Linked DNA regions of Oreochromis niloticus. The protein of the gene in region 1 interacts with the protein of each later gene in a pairwise test. Links are inferred from orthologs where the notes say so. Each region holds a gene or a part of one and is shown in the gene's direction. Other genes may lie near its edges.

Region 1 (7,695 bases):
ATACGGGTGGAGCCTCCAACCAGGACAATCTCATCAATGTCAGACTTCTTCAAGTCAGAATCTTCCAGCACCTTCTGTACAGGCTTCATGGTGGAACGGAACAGGTCCTGGGTTTTGAAGAACACACAGGTTAAAAAACCTTGGTCAACCATTTCTCCAATTGGGTTTAATACGCAATATTTTCAGAACCAAATTAATATCTTACCATGTTCAGTTCCTCAAACTTGGCACGAGTCAGGGTCTCAGAGAAGTCCTCTCCCTCAAAGAAAGACTCGATCTCAATGCGGGCTTGGTGCTGGGCAGACAGCGCCCTCTTGGCCTTCTCGACCTCACGACGCAGCTTCTGCACAGCACGGTTGTCTTTGCGCACATCTTTGCCAGTCTTCTTCTTGTACAGCTTGATGAAGTGCTCCATGACACGCTGGTCAAAGTCCTCACCTCCCAGATGAGTGTCACCGTTGGTGGCCACCACTTCGAACACACCGTTGTCAATGGTCAGAAGAGAGACATCAAAGGTGCCACCGCCCAGATCGAACACAAGAATGTTCTTCTCTCCGTCCTTCTTGTCCAGGCCATAAGCAATAGCAGCAGCAGTTCTAAAGAATACAATGAGAGTTTATTGTTAGAAGGGAGGGCAGAGATATTTTTTTGACAGTTTCAAATTGCAGATGATCAAATTCATTTTGACTGGATGCTTACGGCTCATTGATGATTCGCATAACATTCAGACCAGCAATGGTACCAGCATCCTTAGTGGCCTGGCGCTGGGCATCATTAAAGTAGGCGGGGACAGTGACCACAGCATGTGTGACCTGAGGAAAAAGGATAAAGTTAGATTTGATGATACACCATTTAATTAAGATTAGCTTTTTCACTGATTTACAATCTCTGACTTTTTGTACCTTCTTGCCCAGGTAAGCCTCAGCAGTCTCCTTCATCTTAGTTAGCACCATAGCAGAGACCTCCTCAGGAGCAAAGGTCTTCATCTGGCCACCACCAATGTCAACCTGGATATGGGGCTTGCTCTTCTTCTCAGTAACCTTCATAGGAATACACACCAATATTAATTTAACAAGAATTTCACTCAAACATGACCCAAAGAATCAACTACTACAAGTTTTACTTTCAGTTTAGAAGCTCACCTTGAAGGGCAGGTACTTGATGTCCTGCTGCACAGAAGGATCACCCCAAGTGCGACCAATGAGCCTCTTGGCATCAAAGATGGTGTTCTCAGGGTTAGAGGTCAGCTGATTCTTGGCAGCATCACCAATCAGACGCTCACCTTCACTGGTGAAGGCCACATAGGAGGGGGTGATTCGGTTTCCCTGGTCATTGGCAATAATCTCCACGCGTCCATTCTTGAACACTCCAACACTGCAAGAAAACAGTTTGAATTTAGTCTGAATGCCATTTTATTCCATGGTGGTATCATGTCACTATAAGAGCTTGACGTGATTACCATGAGTATGTGGTCCCCAGATCAATCCCAACCACAGTCCCCACGTTGTCCTTCTTGTCTTCATCGTCGGCGGCAAACACTGTGCCGACCACCAGCATCACAACCCAGAACAGCTTCATCTTTGTTTGTACTTATATCTACAAGCGGATCTGCAGAAAAGAAATACAATGTAACACATTAGATGGGTTCAGCCTCCCAAGTGCGCTAGCCAGAAACTAACGGTACTGCGTAATGTCACTTGCTGAGCTTGCAGACCCATGGCAGACTAAAAGTTGGTCTTGGCGAATAAATATAACAGGAAAATATGAATTATCGATAAAATAAGTTGGATCACCAGTCAATCACCGTCATGACCACCACCACCCCCCCGCCAATTCGCCGGTATCTTGCTAACTACGCTACCATGCCTAGCAGACATGCAGGGGGAAACCACCATGCTAGAACATTCCAAACTACATCCTGTTTATTATATTTAGGTTACAGAGTCTGTACAGTTCATTCAGACGACAGTAGTGTAGTTACATTTCAGCTGGTTTATTGGTCAATATTGACCTTAACCGGTTTTACCTTAATAAAACATTTTGCAGAAAATGGAAAATACCGCGATGCTTCATTATCATATTCATATTAACGTTTATACATACCTTAACAGAAGTTCAACCAATGAATTAACGGCCTTTGAGTTTCCTCTACCGGTAAAAGACGCTTGGAGCAACCTGTATATCTTTTGTCTCTTTCAAATCCTTACTTGTGTAGAATGATGCTGTACGAAATGTGGTCTCTCCATATATAAGCCGTCACTTCTTTCCCGTCGTGGAGGCTCGCGATTGGCTGAGCTGTTGCTCGTTGGAACACGCTGATTGGTTTCATTCAGCACGCTGGCCGCCGCTGATTTGCACACATCAGGTTGAAGAGACGTCACCGTATGTGTCCACTGCGCCGACGCTGATTGGCTGTCTGTCAAGGGCAATCCTGAACACAGTTGGTGCAGCGACATGCCACTCTCAATGCCGGGGGAGAGGTGGATGCATTTCTCGCATTTCATACATTTACAGATTTTTGCTGCAATAATTTTTTTTTGCAATGGCCCACCAAGTGTTTGATTTGTAATCTTAATTTTGCGGTTTTAAGGCGTGTCATTACGAGGAGATAGTGATGCAATTGTGAGACGTAATGACTAACTGCTATGAGTATGAAAATCCAAATCCTTTGTGTGATTGTGATGAATCTGACAGGAAATCTTGTACCAGGTGAACTGGGTTGTCTGGGTGTTTCCTCAGTGAATGTACAAGTCTTAGCTAAAGACTACAGATACATGTGATCACACTGATTTCAGTTTGGTTGAAATCTTTTGCACACATAAGAAGGTAACATAAACTGGCACATTCAGTTGGGTTTCAGTTCAATCAACAAGACAAATATTTGCTTAAAAAGTCAAGGTAGCTGACTGCCATTGTCAAGATATGATCCTTGGCAAATGTGCCAATATATACCAGCCAAAGTACAAGGCTATGATATGGGTATTTTAAAAACACTAACTAATTGCAAGAATTTTCTAAAATCCAAAATCATTACATGGATAGAATTGAACTGATCTGCTTTCTCCTACTGTGATTTATCTGAATTCTTCTATTAACACTGATATATTTCCAGAAGGTTCCTGAACTAAACCGGTTGTACTGTCAGGAAGAATATAGAAAAGTCATAAAATTATAAAATATCAGTGTAGCAGTTAAGTTTTGTCTATTTCTTTTATTTATTTATTTACATAGTTTCCCATAAAAACCATAAACATTTCTATGTCTAGATTTGGAAACCTCTTACTTAGTGGCCTCCAATTCTGATTACGTTTTATGGGAGAATAACAAGTGAACATCAGATTTCAGTGTTTCATCTTTTTCTTTATTGTCTTAAAGTAATGCAAAGTATTTTATTATTATTTTATTTTGAAGCCCTTTTCAGACTTTGCAGGGATTTCTACAGAAAATTTTATTATTCTATTCAAAGGATACCCTCATTTTAAAGCTAATGCTGATGAATTGAAAAGCATATTGTTACGGAGAAGCCTCCAGTTCCTGTTAGTAGAATTCCTTATATTTTATTCAAGAAAATCTAAAAGATGCGTTTATATTGTTTATAAGGTCCTTCTAATGTTACTGTCAGGCAGTTTACTATTTGTGTCATTTATATCTGCTTTCTTTGTGTTACAAACAAAAGCAAAACTAACCTGTAAACTTGAAAGACAATGATGACTCATTAAGACTAAAACCACACAGGGCAGTGAAACAAACCTGATGGAAAATTCTGGGTTTAATGTGTCATTTTCTTTGTATACAATTGAACTTTTTACTTGGACTTTTAAATCTAGTAAAAAGAGTTGGATATCATAGTTAACACTAGGAGGAGCCATGTTGCTAAATCAAGGAGGAAGTGATCAGTAAGGCCTTCATACAGGTTATTACAATGTAAGGACTACTAGCATTGGTTTCGCCTTGTGTTTGTTGTATGGAAACCCCTTTCTGATATGCTTTCTATTAATATGAATTAATAGATTGACATTTTGTAGAGTTTTTTTTTTCTCATATTTTTTTATAAAATGTTTGAATGTCCCTTAAGGAGCCTGGAGAATTATTCTTGAAGAGTATGACAAGAAGAGGAAGGAAGAGTATGACTTGAAGAGGAATGACAAGAAATCTGCCTCAGAGCGTTCTGACTGTGTGAAAGAATAAAGGTGGTCATTCCAAAGAGACTTCCAAGCTTGTTTGTACAGAATTGTTAGAATTTCCCTTATATACCTTATTTTCTTTTGTGTAAGGGAGGATCAAGATTTTTTCCACAGTACTACACTTCATTACACCTGTGGTAAATTTACATATTACAAAAAGAAAGTGAAAAAAGTCATTTTTTAAAACATAAAATAAGACAGTACTGTACGGTACATTTCTGTGTAATAAATGTAACCTACAAAATAATAGGCTATATTTATCTTAATTATAGAGAAACACAAAGGTAAAGTAGCAACAACTACAGACAATGAAAGCAGCCGACAACCACATAGCAAAGGTGTTAATACATTTTTTCCTAAACTCTGTCGAAAATAATACTTTATATATTTCATATAACAAAAGAAAGAAAACATGGTTCAGGCTAATTTATGTGAGGTTGTAAGCTCACGGCCATAGACGGTATAAAGATGTTTTATGCTATGTCGAGGGCACAGCTTGAGCTCTGCGCCACCTACTGGCTTAGACGCGTATGAGCGCCAAGCTGATGACGTGGTTCGCTCAGTTGACCACCAGAGCAGCAGGATGGCCGACCAGAGTAGGCAAATAAAACTCGCTGCAGCTAAGAAAAAGGTAAAGTATTTTACAAGTAACGCAGTTACATAGCGCGAAAAGTGTAGTTCCCACTTTATGTACACAAGTCTGTGTTAACTCTGTTTTCTTGTCTTTTCGTTATGTATATTTTTTACGGGGCAAGGGTGTTGTCATTACACGTCGCCCGAGTTCTGCACTGTCGCTTGTCCGACCTCCTCCGCTCCTCTCGCGGCTCTGTTGCGTAGGAGAGACCGATGTTTCATCGGGGCCTCTGCTGATAGCATTAACTTTCCCAGATTATGTAGACTATTTTTAGTTAGTAGAGACACGCATACTATCCCACGCTGTTTATGTACTCGCAGATTAACTTGCACCACTTGCTTGGCCGCTTTACTTGACTTTCCAGCTGACATTTAAATGTAGTTAAAGCCTAACGTGCTAACCCAGGCAAGTTAACGTTAGCAAGCTAGCTAACTAGCTGATGAATATATGGCTACGTGTGTGTCTAAGGAATGTCGCACAGCAGCCTGCCAGCTTTTTGTGTTATCTGCAGAATTTAATTTCATAAGAAAATGTCTAACAAACGGTAGTTTTAAAACACAGCACTCATTGAGCTTGTAAGCTACCCCTGTAGCACAGTTAGCTGGATGGACTGACGGGGGGTGTTTTGACAGCTGACACCCCTCTTCCCTGTCCTGCTGTGTGCTTTGGCTTGGTGTCTTTTTCGGCTAGTCAGAAAGATGGCCTTATCAGATTCAAGAAGTGACTCGCCAGCATTTTTTGCTGGCCCACAAGCTTCACGACTGAGTGGTCGTGGTGACATGTCATTTTGCTGCTATTTAGCTTTACTGTTAAAAAAAAAAAAAGCCCCAGCAGTTCCCCTTAGACAGCTGTTAGAGCGTTCTGGTATGCTTTAACCGTCATATGCATATCATACGCAGGTTATCATTGTTTAGCACAACTTACTAACTTCATCCGTTTGAAGCCGGATCTTTCTGCTAGCTGGTGCATTGTTTTGGAATTGGAGCACTGAATTCGAATTTTATTACCTCATTCATTCAGCTTGTTAAGACGCTCGAGATGTTGAGTGTAATTTGTTTGAAATAATATCTATAGTTTGGGACAGTTGCAGAGTCCTGGTACTATATGTGTAAGACGTGACAAATAAATATATATTAGTAGACATTGTTCATGTGCACACGTTTATGGGTTTCTTCTCTCATTTCCTACTCAGCTGAAGGAATTTCAACAGAAGAGCTCCCCTGCTAGTGTAGGAGGAGAAAAAGGAGGAGCAGCCAAGAAGAAGAGAAAGGTGAAGGGATCCAGCCAACTTGATGCACCTTCACCAGACAGAAACTCTCCAGACAATGTAAGCATAACAGTTTGCCTTATTGTTGTTGTTGTTGTTGTCGTCAAATGACATCCTCTTTTTGTGCTTGGTAGATGGTCATTTCATGATTTGTTCTCTCAAGTTGAAGGGTGTTGTATTTGTGTGTTTGGCTGAAGAACATATATGTGTGTGTGTGTGTATACATATATATATATATATATATATATATATGAGATAGATAGATAGAATACTTTTTTTCTTTTTTTTTTTGCCAATTATTATCTACAGCAGAGTAGAAGTATTTACACCTCTTTGGGGCGCTGATGACAGACATGTTTACCTAAGAAGGGCGTTGCACATGAGACAGTGTTTTTTAAGCCCCTGACCACAACTGTGGCTTTTACATATTGCAATATGTAGCATAAGGTAAGAATTTCAAGAACTAATATATAATTTCATGAGATGGTATAAATAACAGTCCAGATGAGTTTATAATAGTAATATAATGTAGTTCGGTTGACTTGAATATACATAGGATTGTCCACTTAGCCCACTACAGCGTCAGCATTGTCTCCTTCATTTTGAAAGAATGCCGTCCTGTATTATATTTCCATGTTGACTAAGACTGTTGTGATGATTCCTTGATGTCATTCAGTGTCTTAGGTTGTGGATATATAGCAGTCCTTGTTCTGTTGCACAAATGAGCAGCATTCCAACTAGAACCTGGAGCAGTCTGTGCATGATGAACTGGCTGACTACTATCACCAGCTGCAGTCCAAGCTGCTGGAGTCGCAGCCAGTTTGACTAGATAGACAGCTGAATATAGTCTGTCATTTGTCTCAAAACACTTACTATTTCCAGTACCTTCAATACCACAATATATATGCTGATGTTTAATAATTTATCCAAAAAAGCACTGGTGTAGCAACTTATGTGCATATCAAAAACTCACTTTCCTCTACCCCTGTCAGTTGCTGCCGCAGAAACACTATAATGAACACGTTATGTCATCTGATTGTTTCAGCACTCAGGTTCATCAGCTTTTTGTTATAGAACGTTTAATAGGAATAATCATAAAATTACATTGATTAAAAAATGATAGGCTTTCAAGTCTCCTCTCCCAAGAATCCCTCTGTGAATATCAGCTAGTTCTCTACTCTATGCTACTGCTTTAAGTTTATCCTGCACTTTAGTAGCACTCTTTATAGCTGATTAATAGTAATTAATTCCTGATCTTCAAAGCAGTGACTCATTAGTCAGATGTTCATCCATCAGTCCATTAATTTCTTCTGTATATTCGAAGTTGAGCTGAGGTGGCAGCTGGGTATTCAAATTTCCTATTTCTCTGTGATTTGTTTCTGATTTTCATTACTCACTTGTTTTTCACCACATTTGTACTTGTTTGAGTAGAAAACATAATAAATGTGCTAACAAGACCATTGCTTTAATATTTGTTCTGGTGATTTTAAAAAAAGTACTGGGACAAATTGTGTGCAGCAAGTAACACAATCACATTCTTTGAGCTCTCTTGACAGTCTAACAAGTTTTGGATTTTTTAAGAAAACATTTTTGGTATTTAATGTCATTTT
Region 2 (7,551 bases), on another chromosome or scaffold:
TTAAGAACCACAAACCATACTCCACAGAGAGATCAGAATGGGAAGATGTGCAGCATTGCACAAAGAGACTTCTTAAAATTAAAAACATAAATAATCATGTTCAGTTTTCATTGCGTCTCATAAATCCCACAACTCCAGGCAGCTTTTGTAAGAAAGGATCAATATGTTGGGATAAAAAAAGCAACACCTTTAAGACCACCATCAAGGAATATCTGAAATGGTAATCCTAATAAAGTAAAAATAATGCTGTGTATACTAGTTGCTGCTCACTTATTCATAAGGAGTTGCCACAGCAGGTAGGTCTGCGTATCTGATTTATCCTGGTGCCTAAACCCTTGAGACTCTGTTGTCTACTCACAGGTTCAAACGGGGTAATTTATGGTACTGCAATCGTGTCCTTTTTGCATTTAGCATTTCTCTAAAGTTGGGATTTGCGGGACTCTTTGACTAAACAACTAATCCTCACTATTATCACAAATCATTATCAGACGTACTAGTAGTATAATCTAAATTGTTTTAAATTTTGATTGAAGCCAAATGCCGGTAAATTGCTATGCAGCCACCTGCCACCAGAGGGAGCATCATTGTTGAGAAAAGCCGTAAATCTGTTCATCATGGCCTGATCTCTTTGTTTACACTGTTACTGTTCTTTTAAAGGCAAAAGATACAAGCGGTGGAAATGTGCCCTCTCCAAAAGGTCAGTGGGCACTTCCTTAGCAATAGAGTGAGGAGTTCAGTCATTTGGGAGGGGCTCAGAGTAGAGCCACTGCTCCTTCACATCAAAAGGATCCAGCTGAGGATGATGCCTCCTGGGTAAGGTGCTCTGTTGGTCATGTCCTACTGGGAGGAGGCCACTGGGCAGAACCAGGACCTGCTGTACAGACTATATTTAATCACCTGACCTGAGAACAACTGGACGTTTCCCTGGATAAACTGGAGGAGAGAGGGAGGTTTAGGCTTCCCTGCTTCGGCTGCTGGCCTCGCAACCCTACTTCAGATAAGCGGGGGAAAAGAAAATGGCTGGATTATTTGTTGTTTTGTTATTTTAGATTTTAACTTTTACTGAAGTGGTTGTCATGAATTTTTGAACAGCGTGCATCATTCATAATGCTCGACAAAATGCACCACATTTTTCAGTTCAACTCCTTGGTTTTTCTGTTGTTAACTTGTCACATTTAATAATATGTGAACTTGCTTTTGTAGTAACACATTTATATACTATATTTAACATCAGTTTAAGTGTTTTTCCTTCTTCATTGTCTGGTGTGTAACATGCAATGTTGACAATGCACAATGCCCGTACAATTCAGCACCGTTATTCATAAATCAAGAATATGATTTATGATTTAAAATTCTTTTGTTTAGAGAGTTATAGACCTTAAACAGTTCTAAAATATAACTTGATATCTGAGTGTTTCTTAGTTTTATATGAGTCAGTTAGTCTAATTTTTTTCCCTTGTTTATTCAACTGAGAAATTAGTTGCCAGGAACATCCCTACCCTAGAAACAATGTACAAACATGTGTGCAATCTTCCAAAATCCCCACTGCATTACTCAAATGCTGATTGACTGACAAGTGGGCCAGAACAGGCAAGGGAGTGGCAATGGAGTTCACCAGGAATGGGAGGATAGTAAGAGGGGAAAAAAAAAAAAAAAAAAAAAAAAATCACAGATCAAAAGATAGCTCATGAGAAGTACAGACAGTGGGTGCAGTGAATATGTTACATTGTTTAACACTCACTTCAGCTCTTTGTAGATTATAACTTCACTCTACTCTGCAGCTGGCTGACATACCAGTAACAGCACAAGCAAAAGTACCCCACAGACCGGTTGTACCACATACTTTGTACAGTGCCTCTATCGACAACAGACACTCTCTGCAAGTAGACAGGCCAACGGAGTGCCAGCATACTCCCAATGCACTAACACTGCTGAACCATAATTTCAGGATAAGGCAAATGTAGTATACCACCACACTATGGATCCACTTAAAGTTTTGAATATAATGAAAGAAGAAAATTCAATATTCTGAGAAGGAAGTTGAAATTACTCTGAAAGAAACCATACCGCTTGGCTGGGATTGCGCTGTGAGTTGACAGTTTGGTCGGTTTCAAGAGAGTCCAGAGGCTGCTCGGTAAGGGTGAGGACACGTGGAGGGGCCTTCATGTTCAGGAGGTCCGCAGGAGGGATGGACTGAATCAGATCCAAGTCTCTTGGACATGCAAATCGAGGATCCTCGTCATCACCTACAGAAAAAAAGGGGTCATGAAATTTTTATACAGCATATGGGCCCATATGTCATGGTTTCCACTTTCAGCTGTTAACAGTTGTTTCCCTTAATGTACTACTTTTTTTTTCCTCACCAAATACTTGATATACATGATTTAAACATAATACCTGAAACATGACTGCCAACTGTCATCCTCACCTGCAACGACGATCCTCTCAGGAACCTGCATCAGAGCTGTATGAGTGGGCAAGGGCTGCTGAAGTGGCATGGACCCTGTTTGGCTCTCTGGGGCCACTTTGAGGGTCTCTGGGATTCGCATGCGCTGGCTGATGCCCTCTGTATACTCCAGCTCAAAATGGATGCGATTCATCTCAGCCACCTCTACAGAGGGGGTAGTGAAAGTTGCCCCACTCATCCAGCTGATAACCCACAAAATGGGAAACAAATGAAACTCACATACAGATATTAACCAAACAAAGTGAGGGTGTGAGTGTGACTGTCTCTAAGAGTTCAGAAATATAAGCTCAACTTAATGCCCCGTTTTAAATAAGACATTTTTCATATCTTGGCTGATTTTTTATGACATGCCAATTTACAGTAAAACACATGCTGCAGTTAACCCTGAATTTAGCCAATTAGCTCAGTAGCAAATGGTGCTACCTAAACTTTAAACACGATCATTAGCCCGTGCAAAAGGCATCTGCTCCAGTGTAAGGTAGTGAGTTTAGGTTCAAGCTAATGAGTACAGTACAAGAAATAGCATTTCATGTTACATAACAGCGACATGAGGTGAAGCTGTTGCTGGCAAGCCGCTTCAATGTCACTGAGTGAAAATCCACGCAAGACGCCATGTCTAGCTTGTATGTTAGCTATCTAGCTTGTCGCTATGCTTGACAATCGTTTAACAGACGATGCTATCCCTTTTAGCTAATTAAACAGTGCGCTGTAAGCCGCTGACTGTCTGCACTAACATGCTGGTAAACCAGAGGTCTGTCCTGTCAATACTCACCGTTATGGTTTTACCACCAGGGTTTAAACTGACATGCGCCAACACGCTGTTCGTGCTGTCATACAAACAACATCAGGGACTCCACAAACCACCCACCGAGACGGACTCAGCGAAAGCTCTCTACGCTTCTAGCTAGTGTGGGTGTAGCTGTTAATACTACCCCGCGTGACCGCCGGGGCGGTTACTATGAAGTGCACCGCCAGCCGCAAGAGTTGGTGAAACGCAATGGACACTTTAAATTAGCAGATTAACGAGCTTTATTTACGTAAGTTGGTTGTAGTGTATTTTATTTTTATAGTGACAGAAGTTAATTTGTCTGAACTGCAAAAATAAGATGTTTTTCAAATGAAAGTAGCCAACGTCACGGGAAAAAAGAAGGCTGACCACATCCCAACAAAGTGTGGGGGGGTAAAAAAATCTGTTTGTGTGGGGCACACTAGGGCCGATTAAGATGCGGGACATTGCTTCAGTGTCTGGGTTAAAATGCACCAACCGGCCAGTCGTTGCTGGGGTGTTTTGGTAGCTAGATGGTTTACTTCGTGTGCAGGTTTAAAGTCTGATGGAAAGGAAAATTGCATTTTAATGAAGCTGGACCTTTTGTATTGTAGATATCAGCAGTTTGTGGATGACGTCTTTAGGTATAATGTCTATGTATGACAGCTTGTGCACAAAGTTTTGATTAATAAATAAAAGCAAAATAAAATGTAAACACTCAAAAGATGTTTGAATGTCTTGTTAATATGTGTGTTGACATCCTCTTTGTCCACACTATCCACTGTGCTCAAATTTATACTATTATAGCTTCATCACAGAGACAAACACTAAGATTTACTCCCACATAACACTTTGGGTAAATCCAACCACCAGTTGTCTGCATCTGCTTAATTTGATTTGCCTTAATTTGAATTCCCAGTTCCTCTTCTATCAATCATACGGAGAAAACACACACAATCATTTCCACAAAATGTAATTTAAACTTATTTCAGCTTTAAATTGAATTGAACTTGTTCATTTTCTATTTTTGTATGTAATGAATCCTCAGTGGTGTTCTAATGCTGTCTGGCAGCATGTATGGTATTATGTGATGGTAGTGATGTATATATAGTTAGATCTGTTAGAACTGTTTTCAACGAGATCACGTGTTTTTGTCATTTAAAATTGTGAATGTAGTTTTATTTTATTTTATTTTTTCCGTGTACCATTTTCAGTACAGGAAAAACTTGAAAGGTTTGAAGAAACATGTCTCTAAAGCATGTAGAAATACAACTCCCACAATTCAACGAATTAAAAAAAAAACTTCGCGCATGCGTTCTCGATCTGGGCCATTATTTTGTCCTCCTCAAGCTTCAATTGAACAACGGGCTAAGCGCTTCTTGAAATGAATTAATTATTAATTCACGGAAAGAGCTATTTTTCCCCTCTGTTTCGGACCACCGATACTCATGGAGTCTCTCGGTCAGTAGCTCGGCTGCTCAGTCCTCCGTTTTACCCGGAGGCCGAAAACAGTGCGCGGAGTGACAGCCCCGTTAAAGCCAGGAGACTGGGTGTTTATCTAGTTGGCTAGCCAGCCTAGCTAGCTTCCTAGACAGCTACGAGGGGAGGAAAAACCCGAAAGGACAATTTATTGACTATTGGAAGACAGGACTGTGGCCGTCCCTCTCCCGTCCAACCAGCCGAGGGGATGGCACACCTTCGAGACATGCAGAACCAGGTAGAGAAATGATCTTTTCTCCAACTGTCACCTCCCTGCTTCTTATCCAAGACAAGCCGAACCCCCGATGCTTCTCAGGCTTTCCATGAATAACCTGGGTGGTGGGCTAGGCCATAAAAGCAAGTGTTAGTATCCACAGATGTGAATTTATGTATATATAATGTTCTTGCCGGTGGCGCAGTCAGGTGTACAACTGACAAAGCCATCAACAAATGACAAATATGTAATAATAATCTCTGATCTTGTATGAGTGTGTAATAACATTTTATTTTTTCAGAGTTGGGCTTTTAGAGTTGAGTCTTAATTACTAAGATACTCAATATTTTTTAAACTTAGTGACTTCTTTGAAGGCGTCTTTGTTCGCAAATCATTGCTCATTTCCTGCTGTTATGGAAAGACAAAACCACTGAACTTTCAGGAGTCACACTTCTTAAATTACATCCTGGCACAAAGCTCGATCTAGAGTCTAGGTAATTATAAAGGGATGTGACTGAATAGATGGGCACTGGCATAGATAAGAAGGTTAATTATAAATCATATTTTATATTTGGGCAGTGCATGCAAACACTATAATATGGAGATAAGGGACAACTGTGAACATCTCTTCTGTGTTGAGACTCGCCCACTCATAAACACACACATTAAACTACGGGGGGCTATCACCGTGGTATATACTCTGTACTTAAATCCTTTTGCTCTCACTGGGCCAGAATACTCGGTTGGACCCTGAGGAGTACTTCACCAAGCAGGAGCGGATCGGCAAGGGTTCGTTTGGAGAGGTCTACAAAGGCATCAACAACCGCACAAAGGAGGTGGTGGCCATTAAAATTATAGACCTGGAGGAGGCAGAGGATGAGATAGAAGACATTCAGCAGGAGATCACGGTGCTGAGCCAGTGCGACAGTCCTTACGTTACAAAGTATTATGGCTCATATCTGAAGGTGAGATAATGTAAATACTGAAGTGACACTTGCAGAGATGATTAAAGATGCAAACACATGCAGTGGTTTGTTCCTTCAATTGTTTCCTCCTGCCATAGGGAACAAAGCTGTGGATTATCATGGAGTATTTAGGTGGAGGATCTGCTCTGGATCTAGTAAGTAGATTTCTATTTTTATGCAGCTTACAAAGTTTTAGACAACTCCTCCAATAGTGCACTTTTCATACTCGAGAAGGAAAACTCATCCTTTTGTCGCACTGTCACCATCCTAGCTGCGTCCAGGGCCTCTTGAAGAAACTTACATTGCTACTATACTGAGGGAAATACTAAAGGGGCTGGAGTATCTGCACTCTGAAAGGAAGATTCACAGAGATATCAAAGGTAATGAGCACTCACTTCAATCTTTACGGTGTTCGGTCCTTTTAAATCAAACTGGTTCATTTTATCCCTTGGTGAAGTTTGTTTGTGCAGATGTGAACCGAGTTATTGCACTCGGGCACAGACCAAAACAGCCGCACATAGACCCTTTGGAAGAGGTTGTCTTGGTGCAGTTCTAAATGAACTCAAGAATAGTTTATTTATGATGTGAATATGTTCCTGGTAGTCGACCCAAACAAACTACCAGGTTACAAGTTTGAGATTTTAAAAAAAAACTTCCTGTAGGTACGTATGCTGTGTAGTCAGGGATGCAGCAAAGTACTAGAGTTGTGCAAAGGTCTGTATGGGCTAGCAGCTATCCGTGAAATGAAAGTAAATTTTACGTATTCTCCAATAGTCTAGAACACAGCACCTTCTTTCTATATTTACACATCTGTCCAGTGAGCGGACTGAACATCCTGATGTGTTTTGTTTTTTTTTCTCTTTGTGAAAAGATACCAAATCATAGGGAAGAACTCCAAGTTTACAAACTCACCAACTATACCAGAGAAAACAAACTATAGGTGTGAACAAACCCAAAGAGTCTCATAGCTGTCAGCTAACACAGTTGTCAAGCTCTACGCTGGTACAAACTCGGGTATAATTCAAAGCTGGTTTATAGCGTACGCTCTTGTGAGTACAAGACTCAATGCTGTGATCCAACGTTTTATGTCAACAACTGAACGCTGTGATAAGAGAGCTGCTGCACAGCCAGCCTTAACCAGATGCTGCAGAGAAGAAGTGCACACACTGAAATATGCCAACAAGCTGTGTACATTTTTAACACCATCTGTGAGCTCGAAATCTCACAACATGCTGCGTGTGCGAATTGTATACACTTTTACATATTCCTGTGTGTGGAGCTTTTTCTGCTCTCTTCTTTCCTTGTTATGAAAGAATGTAACACTTTGTAATTAAGTAATCGCACAAATAAGGAGTTTAAAACTTGGGTGTATTACTTGGTGGGGTGGATTTATTCTCCGTATTATTTGTGTTCTTGTGCTGATTTTCTCCTTTTATCTACAGTTCCTTGTGAAATTGAATGCAGCACTCCAGTCTCCAAAATCTAAAATTAATTATTAATTCATTTTAGATTTCAAAATTGAGAGTTGGCCTGAATAAGCTGTAACAACATTGTTACTCATTATCTCAGATGTTCTGGCCTCATCTTATTTTTAGCACGTTATATTAACCAGACTGCTGTAACAGATACAAAAAGCAGACCCAGATACTTTAGGTTGTAT
Region 3 (7,343 bases), on another chromosome or scaffold:
CTACTGCCCTCTTGTGGTTTAGACACATGCAAATAAATTCTCACATGAAAGTGACCAAATTAACCCAAACACACTGACTTTTTTTTTTTTTTTTTTTTTTAAAATACTTGCATCTGTAGATTCACTGAATGAACTACTGTATTAGCCCTATGAGTTCTGGAAGTTTGAAAACAAGATCTACCAGCAGGCACAAAGACATAAGGGAGAAACATCACAAAAAAGCAAAAATGCCATCTCTGGCTGTGTTTGACCCTCATTGTTTATTCTTACCAGTAGATCTGTCAAAACAGAATGAACACACCCAGCCACACTCTAATACACAAACACACGCGCTTCAATCAAAAACAGCACTGAAAAGACAGTTTTTTTCCCCCATCTGCTGAAAAACTGTGGTCAAAAAAGAAAAAAAAAAAAAAAAGAAAAGAAATAAAAGTCCCTTTACCTTTTAACCTTTTGCATAAACATGCGAGTAGAATTAGTATAATATGTTTCTGTTACTTGTAGACTTCACAGAGTGAAGTTTGTTGTCTGCTGGCAATAGGTAGCCACCTAGTGGTTAGACCCTCTCATAACATCAAGTATTGACAATGCAGAATTTTTAAATCACAGGTTCGGATGTTTTGTTGCTAGATGACACTTTGTCATTGATAAACAAACAGCTTAAACATAGTTTAGCAGATACCTAACAAACTATCCAGTCTACAGACTCAGCTGGGGGGAGGGGAAGATAAGTGATTATCACACCAGAAACACAGTATTACTCCTAAATCAAACAGTACAATATGTTTTTTTTTTTGTAACCATATTGCGTGATTTATTTTCAGAATAATAAACCTATATATTCATAGTTACGATACCAGTTCCCTATGAAAAATAATTACCCATAGTAAGTCAGTACCACCATCCCCATTCTAGATGAATGATGACACTGTGTGTTTCTGTCTTTTCAAGACCATCATCCCTTCATTTCACTGGATTCCCTCCACCGGTGAATTGTTTTTCACACTTCAGTGGTCCATAAGGGAGCGCTGTAAAGCCTCCTGAATCATTGTGTGCTCATCTGTGGAATAATCCTGGGAGGTCGTAAGCATGAGAAGTGGAAGAAAAAAAAAGTCACTTAAATTCTTATTAACATAAAAAACAAACAAACAAATAAACAGAGAGTGCTTTACTTACAACAAATGTATCATAGGAGAAAGTGTGTCTGATCTTCAGGTGCTGGAAAAAGTCAGCACTCCTGTAATTAGGATCCCCCCAAGGCATCGAGGCACAGATGGGGCACACCTAAAGAAAACATGAAGGTAATAAAACGATCTTTGAAACACATTATTAACCCAGCTGAAGCCAGTAAGTGTGTGGAAACTCAGTATGACTCAGAATTATGACAGAGTAGACTTTTTTTTTTTACCACTTGGCGTGCATCTCGAGCATGTTGGGAAGTGCAATGTTCAACCAGGCCGTCCTGGTCGAGGTTCTGGCAGTTACAGTAGGGGCAGGTGAAGGTGTAGCGATTTGGCACTGAACTGTGGCAGAAGAGAAACAATAAAATGTCACAAGGTTTGGTTCTCAACTACATGAATATTGCACTTGAAGTGCAACAGGCATCAGCTTATGAAGAAATAATTTACCACAGTTAGTGGCCAATCTTTATCTTTTGTCACATCAACTTTTCACCAGCTGAAAGAGCTTGAGAAAGGCTTAAAAGTGACAGTTATTCTTTTTTCTTTTTTATAACAGGAATCCGTTTCCTGGCACAAACATCTGGAGGGTTAAATAACAAAATAAATAAATACCAGGATCGGTTTCTTACTTTAAACAGTGTTGGCCCAACATGCCACAATGTGTGGATTCTTTGTTTTAAAGGCTGCTGTTTGGGTGGAAAAAAACAAAACAAAAACCCCCCACTAAAGACTACTTCCTGATTAGTCATAATAACCTCATTACAAGCGACGGCTTCTCAAACCATCTTCTCGGAACTTTCTCCAGGAAGTACAGCTGTCATAAATACTTAACATCCAAATATGATAAAAACCAGATCCACTTCATACAACTTGACAATAACAGTGTTTTATGTTTTCTAAAGATAAAAGTTGTACTGTTTTCTATACACTCTGGAAAAATCATGATTGGAAATTACAACAGGTAAAATACAGAATACTTAGCATAAGCTTGATCACACTTTATAATACTATTTTACTTGCAATCAGATTGTGTTTAATTTGAAATCCTATTTGTGCTAAAACTTCCATTTACTTTTTTTAACTTTAAGTGTAAAATGTATACACTACATATAGTTCACATGACAGATTGACCGCAAAAACAGAGCATTTCATTTTTGACTGACATGTTAGGCATGTCAGTGAAACAAGGCAGTAATGGAGCCACGACTTTGGAGTCTTATCAAACAACAATGTACTGCCAAGAGTTTATAATACTATAAACAGGGAATTTTATATCACAAGAAGATATTATTCCATCATTTGTCACAACAGGTCAACTGTTTAAATTTGGCACTTAAGTTACAGTGAAATCTATCATAAATCTATCATTGCATACATTTGATTGGGCCAACAGAACTCCATTTCCTATGTACAGTACTCTCTGCTCTGTGAATGAAGCCCTCTCACTGACTCTACTGACAGGGCTGCACTCATTTCCTTTTTCACTTTGGATTGGTGTTAGTCCAAAGGTGACCTTTAATTTATACAACCCAACAAGCAGCAGTGATTGCACGCAAAGTCTGACTCTACAGTGTAAACCATTTTGCTTTTCTTATGTAGGGAATAGCAAATAATTGTTCTGCTTCTTTCCCCACCTGACGATGGCAGGCTGGCTCTGGGCAGTTGTCCTGACTCCCTCCTCAATGTACTCCTGGTATTTTGAACAGGCAGCTGTGTGGCTTCTCATCTTAGAAAGCCCAACCTAATTGGGGGAGGAGTGACACATATCAGTAACTTCCAGTATATGACCATCATCATAAAATTGTTGCTATTATCTAAATATAAAGACAGAAATTTAGACACAGCAAAATATTAAGATTATGCATGTGCAGTTATTGAATATTCACCCTCTGTGACTGCTTCATAAATGTGAGTCAGTTCAGCAATATTTTAGCTTTTGGACTTTAGTGAAACATACCTGTGTGCCACATCCCTTACAGGCTGCCACAGAAGATTGAATGAGTGCCTCGAGTTGAGCAGCTCTAGTCCAGTGGCCTGGAGCGCCTCGACATACAGCACACACAGGTTTCTGTGGACGCAGACATTCCTGCAAACAACTGTGGCAAAACCTGTCAAGAGATGGGTGAAATAATGTGACTGCTGCACAAGATAAATCAACTAAATTGTCACTTTTAATTTGGGCTCTGGTAACCTGAGGCTTTAAAAAAAAAATTATTAAAAAACAAGACAAAAACATGCAGCAACTCTGTTTACATTAACGCATGGCCTGCAATGAGAAAAAAACCCCAAATGCTGTCACTAAAACAAACCTTTATTATGCTAGTGACTGGACCTTCCTGTAACTCATATGGAAAGTCCCCCACCTCGAGAATAGCCAGGGACTTGTAGTTCTTTAAAGTGGTTTGAAGAGTTAGAGCAATACACATCCAAACTACAACTCCCAAGTGAGGCCTCCTTTTTGATGTAAACAAAACTGAAACTGATTTAGCAAGCTGGAACTGTTTTTGTCACATATTCGAGAGAGAAAAATAGAAAAAACGGGGTCGTAGCACTAGAAGACACTCGCGAGGCCGATATTTTGCAACTCTGGTGCGACGACATATTTAAAGTGAAGCCCTTTCCTCCATTGTTTTTGCCTCTTTTCACTGCATCGTTGGTGGCAGACGAGGGTTAGGGGGAGGGCGATGGAAAATAAACGGCAAAAATACTCACGTATGTCCACACTGTGTTGTCACGGGACTGTCGAATATTTCGAGGCAAACTGGACAGACGAATTCGGACACGTCGTTGCTCCCGTCCGAGGCGTTCTTCTTGTGAGGTGCTGCGCTAAAGCCTCCGAGCATCGCCATTTCTTTTCTTCACTGAGTCGGTTCCACCACCAGCACCAACCGTCCCCGTGACGACGTCATCGGGTTCTTGTTCTTTTTTAAGCGCGAGGGGGCGGGGTCACCGGCGAAAGTAAACATCGTAACACATAATTGTACGACATACTTACTAAATCTGTGACACCCCCCCCTCCCACTAGATATCGAAACCCCCCAGAGACATTCAAAATATTACAATATATAGTTATTCAAATAAATCTGAATTATTCGGGCACTAATACAACGAAAAAGCAGGAAATCCACACCACTAAATGTATACCTTCGGCAAATCATTATGAACCCGGGAAATCTGTCTCTGCGCGCACGCGAGCCTATATGTATATATATATTTTTTTACCCATGCAAAACAAAAACAAAAATGAATGAAGACTGGGGATGATGTATTTGGGGGTCTGTATCCCGTCTTCCCTAGCACGTGGGCTCCTGATGCTGATGAACTGTCAGGATTGAGCGCATGCGTGTTGTTATACTGGGAATTTCCAACAGCTGAGGAGGCGTAGCTAGCCATGACTAGCACTTGTTAAAGGTAAGATTTGCGAATGCTGTTATTTTTGTTTGAACAAACGTCTTGATCTCCTAGTGGGAGCCCATTAACATTTGATCCCAAAAGAACATCACCTTAAAAATTCGCTGTGTCTTGTTATTTTATTTTAAACTGGCGAATAATGTCTGTGTAGCGATGGAACGCCCTGCTAACCAAAAGCAATTGTTAGCTAGCCAGCTACGCTGAAATGGGCGTTCACTGTTTAGCTTCTACTCAGTAGGGAGGCCATAGCAGTGGCAGCATCGGGTTTGAGAGTCATGAAGAATTAATGTATACGTTCTAGGAGTATTACTTTATATTGCCATTGGTCACGGTGGACTAAATTTGTTGTAGTAGATACGCAGTTGTAAAGCATGCGTCTGGCTAAGGCTCATTGGTTGCTAGCTCGTTGAGCGGATGTTCGCAGAGATTTTCAGGTAACAGGTATAGCCAGCCAGCCAGCTTGCAAGAATCTGAGAGCGAAATGTTTGCTCTCCTGTTGTTCAAGCCTCGTACTATTTTCACGATGTGTTTATGAGTTTTGAGTTGAAGCTAAGCTAGGCTAGGTTAGCGCCACTCTGGTTTACACGCATGTAGTACCAATAGCTGAAACGTTCACTGGCGCAAACGTGTGAGAGGGATGTATACATCAGTAATGAGTTCCTCTCTTGCTTATTTAAGCTATAATTCCACTGGCCTTTTTCTTGGTTATGTACATTGTAAAACAAACAATTTTTTAAAAAAAAAAGCCCTTTCACTATGTGATAGACAAAAAACCCACCCACCCAAACGAATCCATCTTCACATCTCTGAGTACAGAGATGGTCCTGGATTAGTGTATCTTCCCTCTTATCTGAACCTCTAGATATTTCAAAACATGCTTAACCACAGTTAAATTGCATTTTCATTTAGCTAGAAACCGAAAATGATATTTTTTATCTTAACAGCTATTGCTTGTGTCATTTCAGCTTGGACATGGCTGATAACAACCCCAAGATCATGAATCTGTCTTCTTGATGAGTGACCTTGAACTCTACCAATGCTAAAACCAAGCAATGGAATAGATGCAAGTCTGTGTGCCAAGGAAAACCTCCCCCCTGACGTTATCTTGCATGACAGAGGCCTGTTTTTCTGGAAACAAGTCAGGCTTTGAGCCAAAGCCAGAGATGCTCATACCAAGGCATCCTTATGGGCTACAGCCTTGCTACACCAACTGAAAGCACTAGAAAACTGCATCTCTTGCTTAGAGGATGTGCTACTGAGTGGATGCAAAGATTGACTCCTCTGTCATCTCTCCACGACATTAACATTTAGTGTATACGGTTTAAAGAATGGTAACCAAAAATGGTGTCTGAATGTGGCATTTTGTGGTTGGGCATGCTAAAAGGTGTGAGGCTCTCTCAGAAAATTATAACAGCTGACTAATAGTCTGCTGCTAATAATGGATGCCAAGTTAAAAGAGGACCTGTTCCGGAGGTATGTGACAGCACTGGAGAAGCGCCTGGAGGAAGGAGGGGATAACAGGGGGACTGGAAGTACGCAAGAAGGGGAAAGAAGCAGACACAAGGACAGTGAGGCCCTACTTTCCACAGCCACAGCTCTGCTAGGAGCCTATCAGCCAGATCCGGCACAGCGATTTCGCATGGTGCGTTTCTATGAGGTAGTGGAGAACTCCCTCCGCTCCCAGAGAGGAGTCAACCTGAAGGGCCTCGAGAGAGCCTTCCATACCCTGGAAACCATCTGCACCAACCTCCTGCTCTTCCCTTGGAAGAAGGAATTCAGATGTATAAAGGTGAGTTTATTTCATTGATGGGATATTTAATATATTTTGCTTAGATTAGTTTACTCTAATAGCCAAAATTTCACTATTAATACATTTGTTATATCAGAATTAATCATTATTGTCCAGTCCTGAGCTTTGAGATACTGAGCTTTGGCAATTGATCAGGGCAGTGTGTGTGTACACCGAAATACTTTTGTGAATTTGCATATCTTTCAGACTGTCTTTTGCAGGCAATATATATGAATATCTTTCCTGACCTTTAGTGTGGAAGCAAGACTTTTACGTTTGTGTACACATTCTCAGTCTTTATGCAGATATCAGATATCTGCATAATCTTAAGAGATTATTTTAACTTAATTACTTGTTGTCTAATCTTAATACCATAAAGTGGGTATACAAACAAAAGTTTGATCTCCCCTGTCTCATAAACTGCTTGACATGTTTTTTAGTAAATTAATATCTAAAAGTAAGAAAATTTTTCTGAAACTATTAAAATTTGTATAGACTTGTAATTTTAGTGAACACGCGTGCAAAGAGGACCTTGTTATTATGGTTGCTTCTGCTCAGTTCTGCTTGGTGAATAAGTGAGAAATTAAAAGGAAAGCTGTAACTCTTGACACTTCAGTGTTCCACTGCCTCTGTTTTGCTTTGGGGATTTATGTTGCTGGCATTCTTTGGCTCTCCTTGTCTTCTTAGAGGGAAAGCACCGCAAATCAATACGAAGTTGTTTGGTGTGAAACATTTCTAACCTAATAGGAGAGGGAAATGTCCTTGCACACAGAGCCGAAACCGTTATGAATTATCTTATGGCGTTCACCCTCACAAGATATCAAGTTAACTGAATGTCTATGGGAAATTTCTGTACATGTTAGACAGCCTTCTGCCATCATTATCAACCCCCCAAAAGAGGACCAAAAATAGTTGTCCCCACTTCTGGTTTTCTAAAACACTTTTTTTTTTTTTCGCTTGAC
Region 4 (7,887 bases), on another chromosome or scaffold:
CCAAGTTAACCGCCTCAACTCCTGCATGTGATATTCACAAATGTTAGAATTTCTCCACTGTGTCTGTCCGTGTTTTAAAAAGGATGCCTTCTGGCTCAGACAGGCTGGCTCTTAACGCCATGCTAGGCTATCCCACCATCACCATGCTGAAGCCAGAACAAAGAGCAGCCAGAGAGCGACTCTCCAGGAACATCCAACAACTTTGTTGGTCCGAGACAGCCCAGCAGGCAGCAACTTAGCTGCCGCCGCTAACCGTTTTTATCCACGGCTGCTGTGCGTAGGGTTTGCACCGCTTGCCCCCCCACCTCCTCCCTCCCTTCCCTCTGCTGTGTCTCGCCTAATAACGCGCTGAGTTAAACACGGATTTATTCGCTTGGCTCCAAGCAGCTAACAATTTGCGTTATCTGCTCGCCACAGTTGCTAACGTTAGCTAAGCTGCTAACCTGTTTGTTGAGGACAATCGAAGTTAACCTAACGGCTGCCGTCGGTCGCTAACGTTAACGCTAGCAAACTGCGCCGTTAACCGTTAAAAAAAAAAAAAAACTACCCGGTGACATTCACCGCAGGAAGCCGGCTCCTGAAACGCGGCTCTCGGCCCTATCCGTGCCCCTCACTATATTTGCAACACCTGATAATGGTAAAGCTGGGTAACGTTACCATCGCCAGCATCCATCCATCCGGTGTACACTCAGAGAGCTGCTTGTTGTCCTCCTCACAGATTGAACAACCCAACTCTCGATCCGAGCACAGACCCCGCCGCTCTCATTGGACTGGGGCTGAGCGGGAGACGGGCTCTCATTGGCGGAAGGGCTGAACAACAGGCAGCAGGATGGACCGTCCGTCCGTCCACCCACAGCGGCCACATGGAACAATAACGGAGGCCAGAGTGGAAGCCGGGTTTAAGAGGACAGCCGCTACCCCTGATCCCCGGTGTCCCCGTTAAACCCCGTGCGCGCCATGTGTCAGCTCGGTAGGGTTAATCTGGTAAAATACACCTGAGGCGCGCGCGTGTAGTGTGCGTGTGTGTAGCTTTAAGCGCCCTATGAGACGCATCTCCTTTGGATGCTGTCGTGGGGAGGGACTACTTTCAAAATGCGTCAGCGCAAATCAGTGTAATTCAAGTTTAAACATAAAAAGAAAGCCGCTGCCTGGAAGAAATGTGCAGCATTCAGGGAGAGTTTGAAAGCTGAATAACATATCACAAGTCCTAAAAGAGAAGTCATGTCAGTTTTATCAGCTTTAATTACAGTTGTGGTTACGCTGGATATCCAGGATTTTTTCACATGAGATTAGGAGACGCATGGATAAAAATAACCATATTAACAATAGTAATTATCGTGATTTAGTAGGACACTTGAATTATATATTTTTTTTTAAATACAATTACCAATTACTGGTAATTTAATAGGACATTGTTCTGCATTTTTTACTTTTTTTTCCTGCTCTAACATAAGAGTCCACTCGATGCCAAGCATAAGTGAGATCTTCAGATTATTGTAGATAATGTAGTATGTAGTATCTATAAACAGAATTAAATTCTCAGGTTTTAGAAGCTAGATCCAGTCTTTTGGACATTTTAAACAATCCAACATAAACAATCTAACTTACTGTCACCCTAAGATACCTGCACAGATACTTCTTTGTAATCTAATAAAGCATTTCCACTGTAAAATCATTACACGTGTAAGGACAAGCCTCACTTGTTAGCCTCCACCTAATACTGGAACACTAATCCAACTGCATAAACCTTGGGATTGGACTGACTGTGAAATTCCTGGGCCTGTAGTCAACGTTTAGTTCATTCATTCCTGTCTTTCTGACAGAGAAAAACAAAGAAAACTTGATTGTTTGAAAAGAAAAATCTCTCACCTCCTTGTGACATCATCTTTAAACGTTAAGCCAGCGCAAAACTTAGATGATGCAACAGATAAAAATCGACCTCTCTCACCGATAAACGTCATCAGATCAGTTGACAGTCAACAGGGCCAGCGTTCAGCTGATAAATTGGTTCATCCCTGTGTAAACTAGCAAGAAATCAATGAATACTTCGTGTCTCTACTCTCAGATAAAAGTGCACCATCAAAAGGGCATCGCAGTATGAACGCTCAGAGACTCTGACTACTTGTTTTCACTGTGTCTCTTTATTGCAAATGCTTTCATCCAACGCTAACGTGAAGTTCTGCAATGATAATAAAACCCCAGACGTTCAAAAAAATAAAAAATGCCTGGGTACTAACGCTGATCCATAGGACCAGGAATATACCAACATCTGTACAAACATGGAGAGAAAAAAAACAGATATCTTTGTTGCAAACTCAGCGCACATTGCTTCCAGGGATTTGCAGCTTGCGCAGTTTGTTGAACAACTCCAGGTACTGAGTCATGGTGTCAACACAGTCTGCTGGTGCAAAGAGTCCCTCGGGCTTGGCAGCAAACACAGATGGCAGTTCAGGGACGCTGGGGCCGAGAAAGGACTGCATAAACTCCTTCATGAGGTTCCAGCAGTCCCCAGGAACGACACAAGGGCAGTACTCCACCTGAGGAAGCAAGCCAGGAGTTAGCGCCTCACGGAGAGAAAGCAGAAGGACGTGACTCGTCTTTATCACAGCATATATATATATATACACACACGCACCTCTACTGATATCCCTCTGGCACTGGAGCTCATCGTCACGGTACCAACTTTTATCAAGAAGTCGCAGTAGCGATACCTCGAACCACGAGACTCCACCTTGTGTCCCTTGGCATTCTGGAAGTGACTTTTCAGCTTCACCATGAGGACATCAAAATTTGCATCCGCTATTAGGCAGGGTCCACCTTCAAACAGAGCCAAGCAGCTCAGGGGGGTTTCGGAGTTGTGCATCACATACAGGAGCTTGGAGGGCTGACCTACAACGGACAGACAACACTTAAAACTGTCAGGTGAGATGAGGAAGGAAATGAAAGTTCCACAAAGTTAGAGAGGCAAGGCTGAGATTTGCACCTGAGGTTTTGACGTGTACAGTGAGGGATAGTAGATATATTGGGCAAAGGATGTTAAAGACAGAGGAGCTGCCAGGCAGGAGGAAAAGAGGAAGACCTCAGAAGAGATTTATGCATGTAGTGATGGAGGACATGTAGATGGTTGGTGTGACAGAAGAAGCTGCAAGGGTGAGATAGAGGCAGATGATCTGTGGTGACATCTAAAGGAAACAGCTAAAAGAGGAAGGAAAAAGACTTCTGGCCATATAGATATATAACTATTACTTATACTGATGATAATTGTTATTCTCCCACAGATAAATTCAAAAACTGTGGCGGAAAAGTAGCCAAAGACGCACAGGAGGAATCAGCGGTACTGAAGAGGACAGTAACCGTATGTCGATGGAACTCGTAGTAACATTTCTAAGGAGGTGCACATCAGAAGCATAAATTCCCAATAAAAGTGACTGCCTTACTGTTTTGGCCTAACTACAGCCAATCAAACTGGAAATTGAACCAGTACACCAGTACTTATATAGCTCGTTTTAATGTAGCTGAGTACTCAAAGCACTTCCTACTACAAGTCTCACACTCACATTCATACAGTGTTTTTGTCTATGCCTAAGTGTTTTCTAACACACAAACACACACACCCACAGATGGATGCATCAGGGGCAACTTAGGGTTCGGCATCTTGCCCATGGATACTTCAGGATGCAGACTGGAGGAGATGGGGATCTATGACGCTCTCTACCAGCTGAGCCACAGCTCGCGTGACAAAAAAAGTGACATTTCTGGGGGGGGGTTATATGTTATATGTTATCCTGCCTTTATTGTGCCTATATTATAGTCAATCTAGTCCTTACTATCTATCTAGTGCTTATCTAGTCCTTTATAGAATTTTGATGTTATATTTGTCACAATTTCTCTTGCCCTCTTTGCCAGATCTCTCTAGACTTTTTTTTTTTTATGTCAGTGACACTTTTAGCTGGATAAATAAGGGAAATATGAAAATCACTTTGCAAAAAAACAAGTTCTGCTTTGTGATAGAAATGTTCTTTCTGACTCAAAATGACTCAGTATCGTTCATGAGAGATCTGTTTGAGAGATTATAGGCCAATAAGTCATTTAAAACAGTTCAAATACCGGCAATCTTTTTTTCTTTGCAAACAATCACACGAAAAGGGGATAAAATACTCTGCAGCCCCACCTAGACAGGGACATCAGGTCAACCTGATGGGTGAGTGCAATACGTCTGCATTAATGTGATCTATAAATCTGAATTCTAAAGCTCAGAAACAAACAGATAAAAAAATATTACTGCTGGAATTTCCCGTGGCATGGTAAGTCTCGCAGTCCACGCAGAAGCTGCCTTGCTTCACGGCGCCCAGCTGCTCCAGCTTTTTGTGCAGCATGTCCACAGTCTGCTGCACGCTCTTCCCCTCCGCCACGGGCACCTGGCACACACTGAGGGGCACAGCAAGCAGAGGACTTGAGGGACCAGCATACACTTTGTTCCGTGTAACGTTACCAGCATTGCTGAATGAGACAGAGCCACGCCTCCGCGGATCAATGAGAAAAAAACACGCAGGGTGGTTGAGGCTGGGCCAAATCTGTTTGAATATTTAGTGGTTAAAAAACGTTTAAAATCAAACGTAGGTTTAAAAACCACCTTACCAAGTAACACCCATTGATGTTTTGCCTCTCTTCACTTGTAGTACGGTGTTTGAGCACTTCCGGGTTAAACAAAACGCCTTCCGGTACAGTAAAAGAAAACAACAGAAAAAATAAAAATAAAATAAAATATTATTTATAATAAAGAATGGTGAATATTAACACCATTTCACAATGAAACAGTCAACTGACTTTGCTGTACTTTTTTTCTGAAGTGGTCGCCGAAAGCTGGATGTTACGTGAGTGCGATGCGTCACTTCCTTCTTGCCGGACCTGCGCACGTGTTGAAGCAGTGACTGTTTACAGTGTTTGGTAAAGTCTGTCCTGTAGCTCGCACATGTCCACGGAAACATCCACACTGTGGTCACAGCTGAAGTAAAACCGCAGCGATGCCGAAAGTCAAACGGTCCAAAGGTGGAGGAGAGAAGAGCGGAGCCGCGCCGGTGGCGCTGGCCGACCAGATCCTGCAGGCGGACATTGTCCGAGCTAAAGGCCGGGTTAAGATCAGAGACACCCGGGAAGAAAGCGACGACAAGTACGTGGACGAGCGGTTGTCACGGAAAATCTTACAACAAGCCCGCATTCAACAAGAGGAACTTCAGACCGAATATGGGCTGGCACCAGAGAAGAAGAAAGCACCAGTCACTGTTCTCGGTAATGTTGGATTGGTGTTGTAGTTATCCTTAAATTGGCAGATATTTGAATGGAGTCTGGCGAGTGAAGTGCTAACACCATGGGGAGATCAAAAGTCAGTTGGCTTTGACACACATCGCATTTGTTCAATGTTTTCTGACTAGATTAGGTAGCTGTAATCAACGTAGTTTGATGTTTTCTACTTACGCTTTTGGTCATCAAAAGGAGACAAATCAATTAAAAAGTTTTCTTCTTTTGTTTATATACCTATATTTGTCCTTAACTTTCATAATCAACAACATTCCACAGCACAGATCTTTTCATGAGAAAAAACTAATACTAGCTCTGACTTGCAGCCTTGTTACTATACATATAAAATACACTCTCACAAGCACACTTTAAAACATAAAATATCATTAAATAGCATTTCTCTGGTCCTGGATATTTATTTGTAGCAGGTATGTCATAATCTATAAATAAAAGTAATATATCCATTCAGCCCTTATATCATGTGCAACCCTGTTACACTACTAATTTTTTTTTAGCCCTGATCATATCATTTTTAATAAAATTGTCATAAATGTTTTTATTAGCTCACAAGGGTTTGATCTGTTAATCTGCTGCCTTTGTAACTGCTTTAATTATTACATGAATAGTGTTATTTGAGCACAGATATAAATATGAATACTGAAATTACCAAAAAAAAGTACATATTGAAAATTTGGTAGGTTTTGAAAGTTGCTTAAATGAATAAAAATTGAGTGTTATCTGTTATCAAGTGTGAAAGATGCTCAAGAATTTATTAAACAATATTTTTTAATCTACTTTTTCGGGTTCTGAAGTATTGGCTGCAGAGATGCGTACAGAAACTAAAATATCATAAAAAGTTTATCTTTAATCCCTGATCTGGACATATTTAATATTTATTTTTTTCTTAAACACATATTATATTATAAAATAATAAGATATTTTTAAAGCCTGAATTGTCCTCCTATTGTTAAATGACCCAGGAGTTTTTCACACAAATACATAGTAGTGCAACACATGTTGAATCCATGTTACAGTGTAAAATCTTTCCTTGTGATTGTCTTTATCAAGAAACCTTACTTAACTAAAATATTTATACCTAAAACATTTCAGTGTGATCTTCTAATGAGCCATCTCCGTCTTGTAATCTTATTTTAGGGCCTGACTCTCAGGATGCTGACTCGGATGAAGAATGGCCGGCGCTGGGAGCAGCAGATCCTGCAGATGTTGAGTACGACACAGAAATCGTTGTTGACGCTGAAGATGAGAAGGCCATCGAGATGTTCATGAACAAAAACCCACCAGTGAGGTGAGCTACACCGTCGCTTTAACTTCAGGCGCTGCGAGCTCAGCAAATCCTTGGCTTTGTGTTTGTATTAATGCTGTGCAATAGTGGAAAGTTTGGTATCGGGTAGGGGTGGGCGGTATAAACGGTATACGGTAGAAACGATATGAATTTGGCCAACGGTAGAGATTTTGACTATACCGCTCTGCAGCGATAGCGCATGTTGATGGTTTCATCAAGCTGCGCCTGTTTTGGTCGAAAGCATCGCAGCGGCTGCAAGCAATGTCATCTGCAAATTGGGCGACAGTAATAGCGAAGAAATGAAGCACGTTTTGGAATATGAGGAAAGGCAAAAACTGCCCTTCCTCCACTTCCGTACCATTGATTCATTAATGTTGAATTCTCTCGCAGTTGCTCTATACCCATGTTGTTGCAGTATACTAATAACTAACCTCGTATTGTGGATGGATTATCTCAGTTGTTGTCCTGACTGAAGTTTGGTCCATTTACAGCATCCTGCCATGCATTTGTCCCTAACCGTCAGACCCTCACGTTAACTTTTATCGAGTGGAAAAAAGTTGGCGTTCATCCTCCAGCTTCACTGTTTATGTTATGCTAACATAGCTGTGTTGCTAGCGATCATGTAGCACATCATTATGCTTCAGTAACCCTACAAAAGTCACTGCTGTTTAGTTTTCTGTCTTCGCTTATGTTGGAAGTGATAGCAGAGCTGTACGTTTGAATTTTTTCAGAAACCTCTCTGTCAGAACATGCTATATCATGTTTAGGTGGAAACTAGCGAGCTTCCTTCCTTCCTAACTCCTAACTCTGCTCGGTTTTCATGGATGCCTGGATGTTAAACTTAATTGTTACACCTGGTAAAGAAGCAACGCTGATCATTTTATTAAAGATGAAAGAATTTAGACAGTTTTTAATGCTCAGTGATGTCGCAGCGTTCATTTGGCTTTGGGACCTGAAGCAGACGGAGTTTTGGACCCAGATTACTCCGCCAGGCTCCTGACTGCGGCAGCTGTAATGCTCCGAAAATCCATCAAGCGGTGCGGCTTCGTAGCTTACCAAAATCGTACTAAAACATTTTTGACAGATTTTTGAGCGCCGTGTTCCACATAAAATAGGTTTGAGGTCAGTAAGCACAACCAGAATTCATACATAAGACACACCGGATTATAAGGCGCACTGTCGATTTTTGAGAAAATTAAAGGATTTTAAGTTCGCCTTTATAGTGCGAAAATACGGAAGAAAAGAATATATCGCGATATATATTGTTATATATGGATTTTAGGCCA

The links.
Region 2: the proteins of golga2 (region 1) and stk25b interact in binary tests that used the Homo sapiens proteins (3 or more experiments, as listed by UniProt). The link is inferred for Oreochromis niloticus from reciprocal best matches to the Homo sapiens genes GOLGA2 and STK25.
Region 3: the proteins of golga2 (region 1) and spata2 interact in binary tests that used the Homo sapiens proteins (3 or more experiments, as listed by UniProt). The two-hybrid records come from large-scale screens. The link is inferred for Oreochromis niloticus from reciprocal best matches to the Homo sapiens genes GOLGA2 and SPATA2.
Region 4: the proteins of golga2 (region 1) and bysl interact in binary tests that used the Homo sapiens proteins (3 or more experiments, as listed by UniProt). The two-hybrid records come from large-scale screens. The link is inferred for Oreochromis niloticus from reciprocal best matches to the Homo sapiens genes GOLGA2 and BYSL.

What each region holds. Positions count from the first base shown.
Region 1 is NC_031972.2:20,385,517-20,393,211, forward strand, and holds the start of golga2 (golgin subfamily A member 2), read left to right. Parts: upstream 1-4,684; 5' UTR 4,685-4,767; coding exon 4,768-4,815; intron 4,816-6,010; coding exon 6,011-6,145; intron 6,146-7,695. Other genes in the region: endoplasmic reticulum chaperone BiP, read right to left, coding at 1-107, 206-596, 700-812, 903-1,040, 1,143-1,374, 1,460-1,578. UniProt on the Homo sapiens protein: Peripheral membrane component of the cis-Golgi stack that acts as a membrane skeleton that maintains the structure of the Golgi apparatus, and as a vesicle thether that facilitates vesicle fusion to the Golgi membrane.
Region 2 is NC_031982.2:10,567,728-10,575,278, forward strand, and holds the start of stk25b (serine/threonine-protein kinase 25), read left to right. Parts: upstream 1-4,542; 5' UTR 4,543-4,920; coding exon 4,921-4,950; intron 4,951-5,660; coding exon 5,661-5,891; intron 5,892-5,989; coding exon 5,990-6,046; intron 6,047-6,162; coding exon 6,163-6,271; intron 6,272-7,551. Other genes in the region: mitochondrial fission factor homolog A, read right to left, coding at 2,068-2,246, 2,429-2,645. UniProt on the Homo sapiens protein: Oxidant stress-activated serine/threonine kinase that may play a role in the response to environmental stress.
Region 3 is NC_031984.2:16,329,015-16,336,357, reverse strand, and holds the start of spata2 (spermatogenesis-associated protein 2), read left to right. Parts: upstream 1-4,328; 5' UTR 4,329-4,592; intron 4,593-4,720; exon of another isoform or gene 4,721-5,026; intron 5,027-5,557; 5' UTR 5,558-6,030; coding exon 6,031-6,381; intron 6,382-7,343. Other genes in the region: E3 ubiquitin-protein ligase RNF114, read right to left, coding at 1,008-1,073, 1,177-1,284, 1,409-1,523, 2,816-2,922, 3,139-3,289, 3,894-4,030.
Region 4 is NC_031970.2:21,836,235-21,844,121, reverse strand, and holds the start of bysl (bystin), read left to right. Parts: upstream 1-4,877; 5' UTR 4,878-5,024; coding exon 5,025-5,289; intron 5,290-6,453; coding exon 6,454-6,604; intron 6,605-7,887. Other genes in the region: med20 (mediator of RNA polymerase II transcription subunit 20), read right to left, coding at 2,316-2,537, 2,636-2,889, 4,283-4,428, 4,639-4,652. UniProt on the Homo sapiens protein: Required for processing of 20S pre-rRNA precursor and biogenesis of 40S ribosomal subunits. May be required for trophinin-dependent regulation of cell adhesion during implantation of human embryos.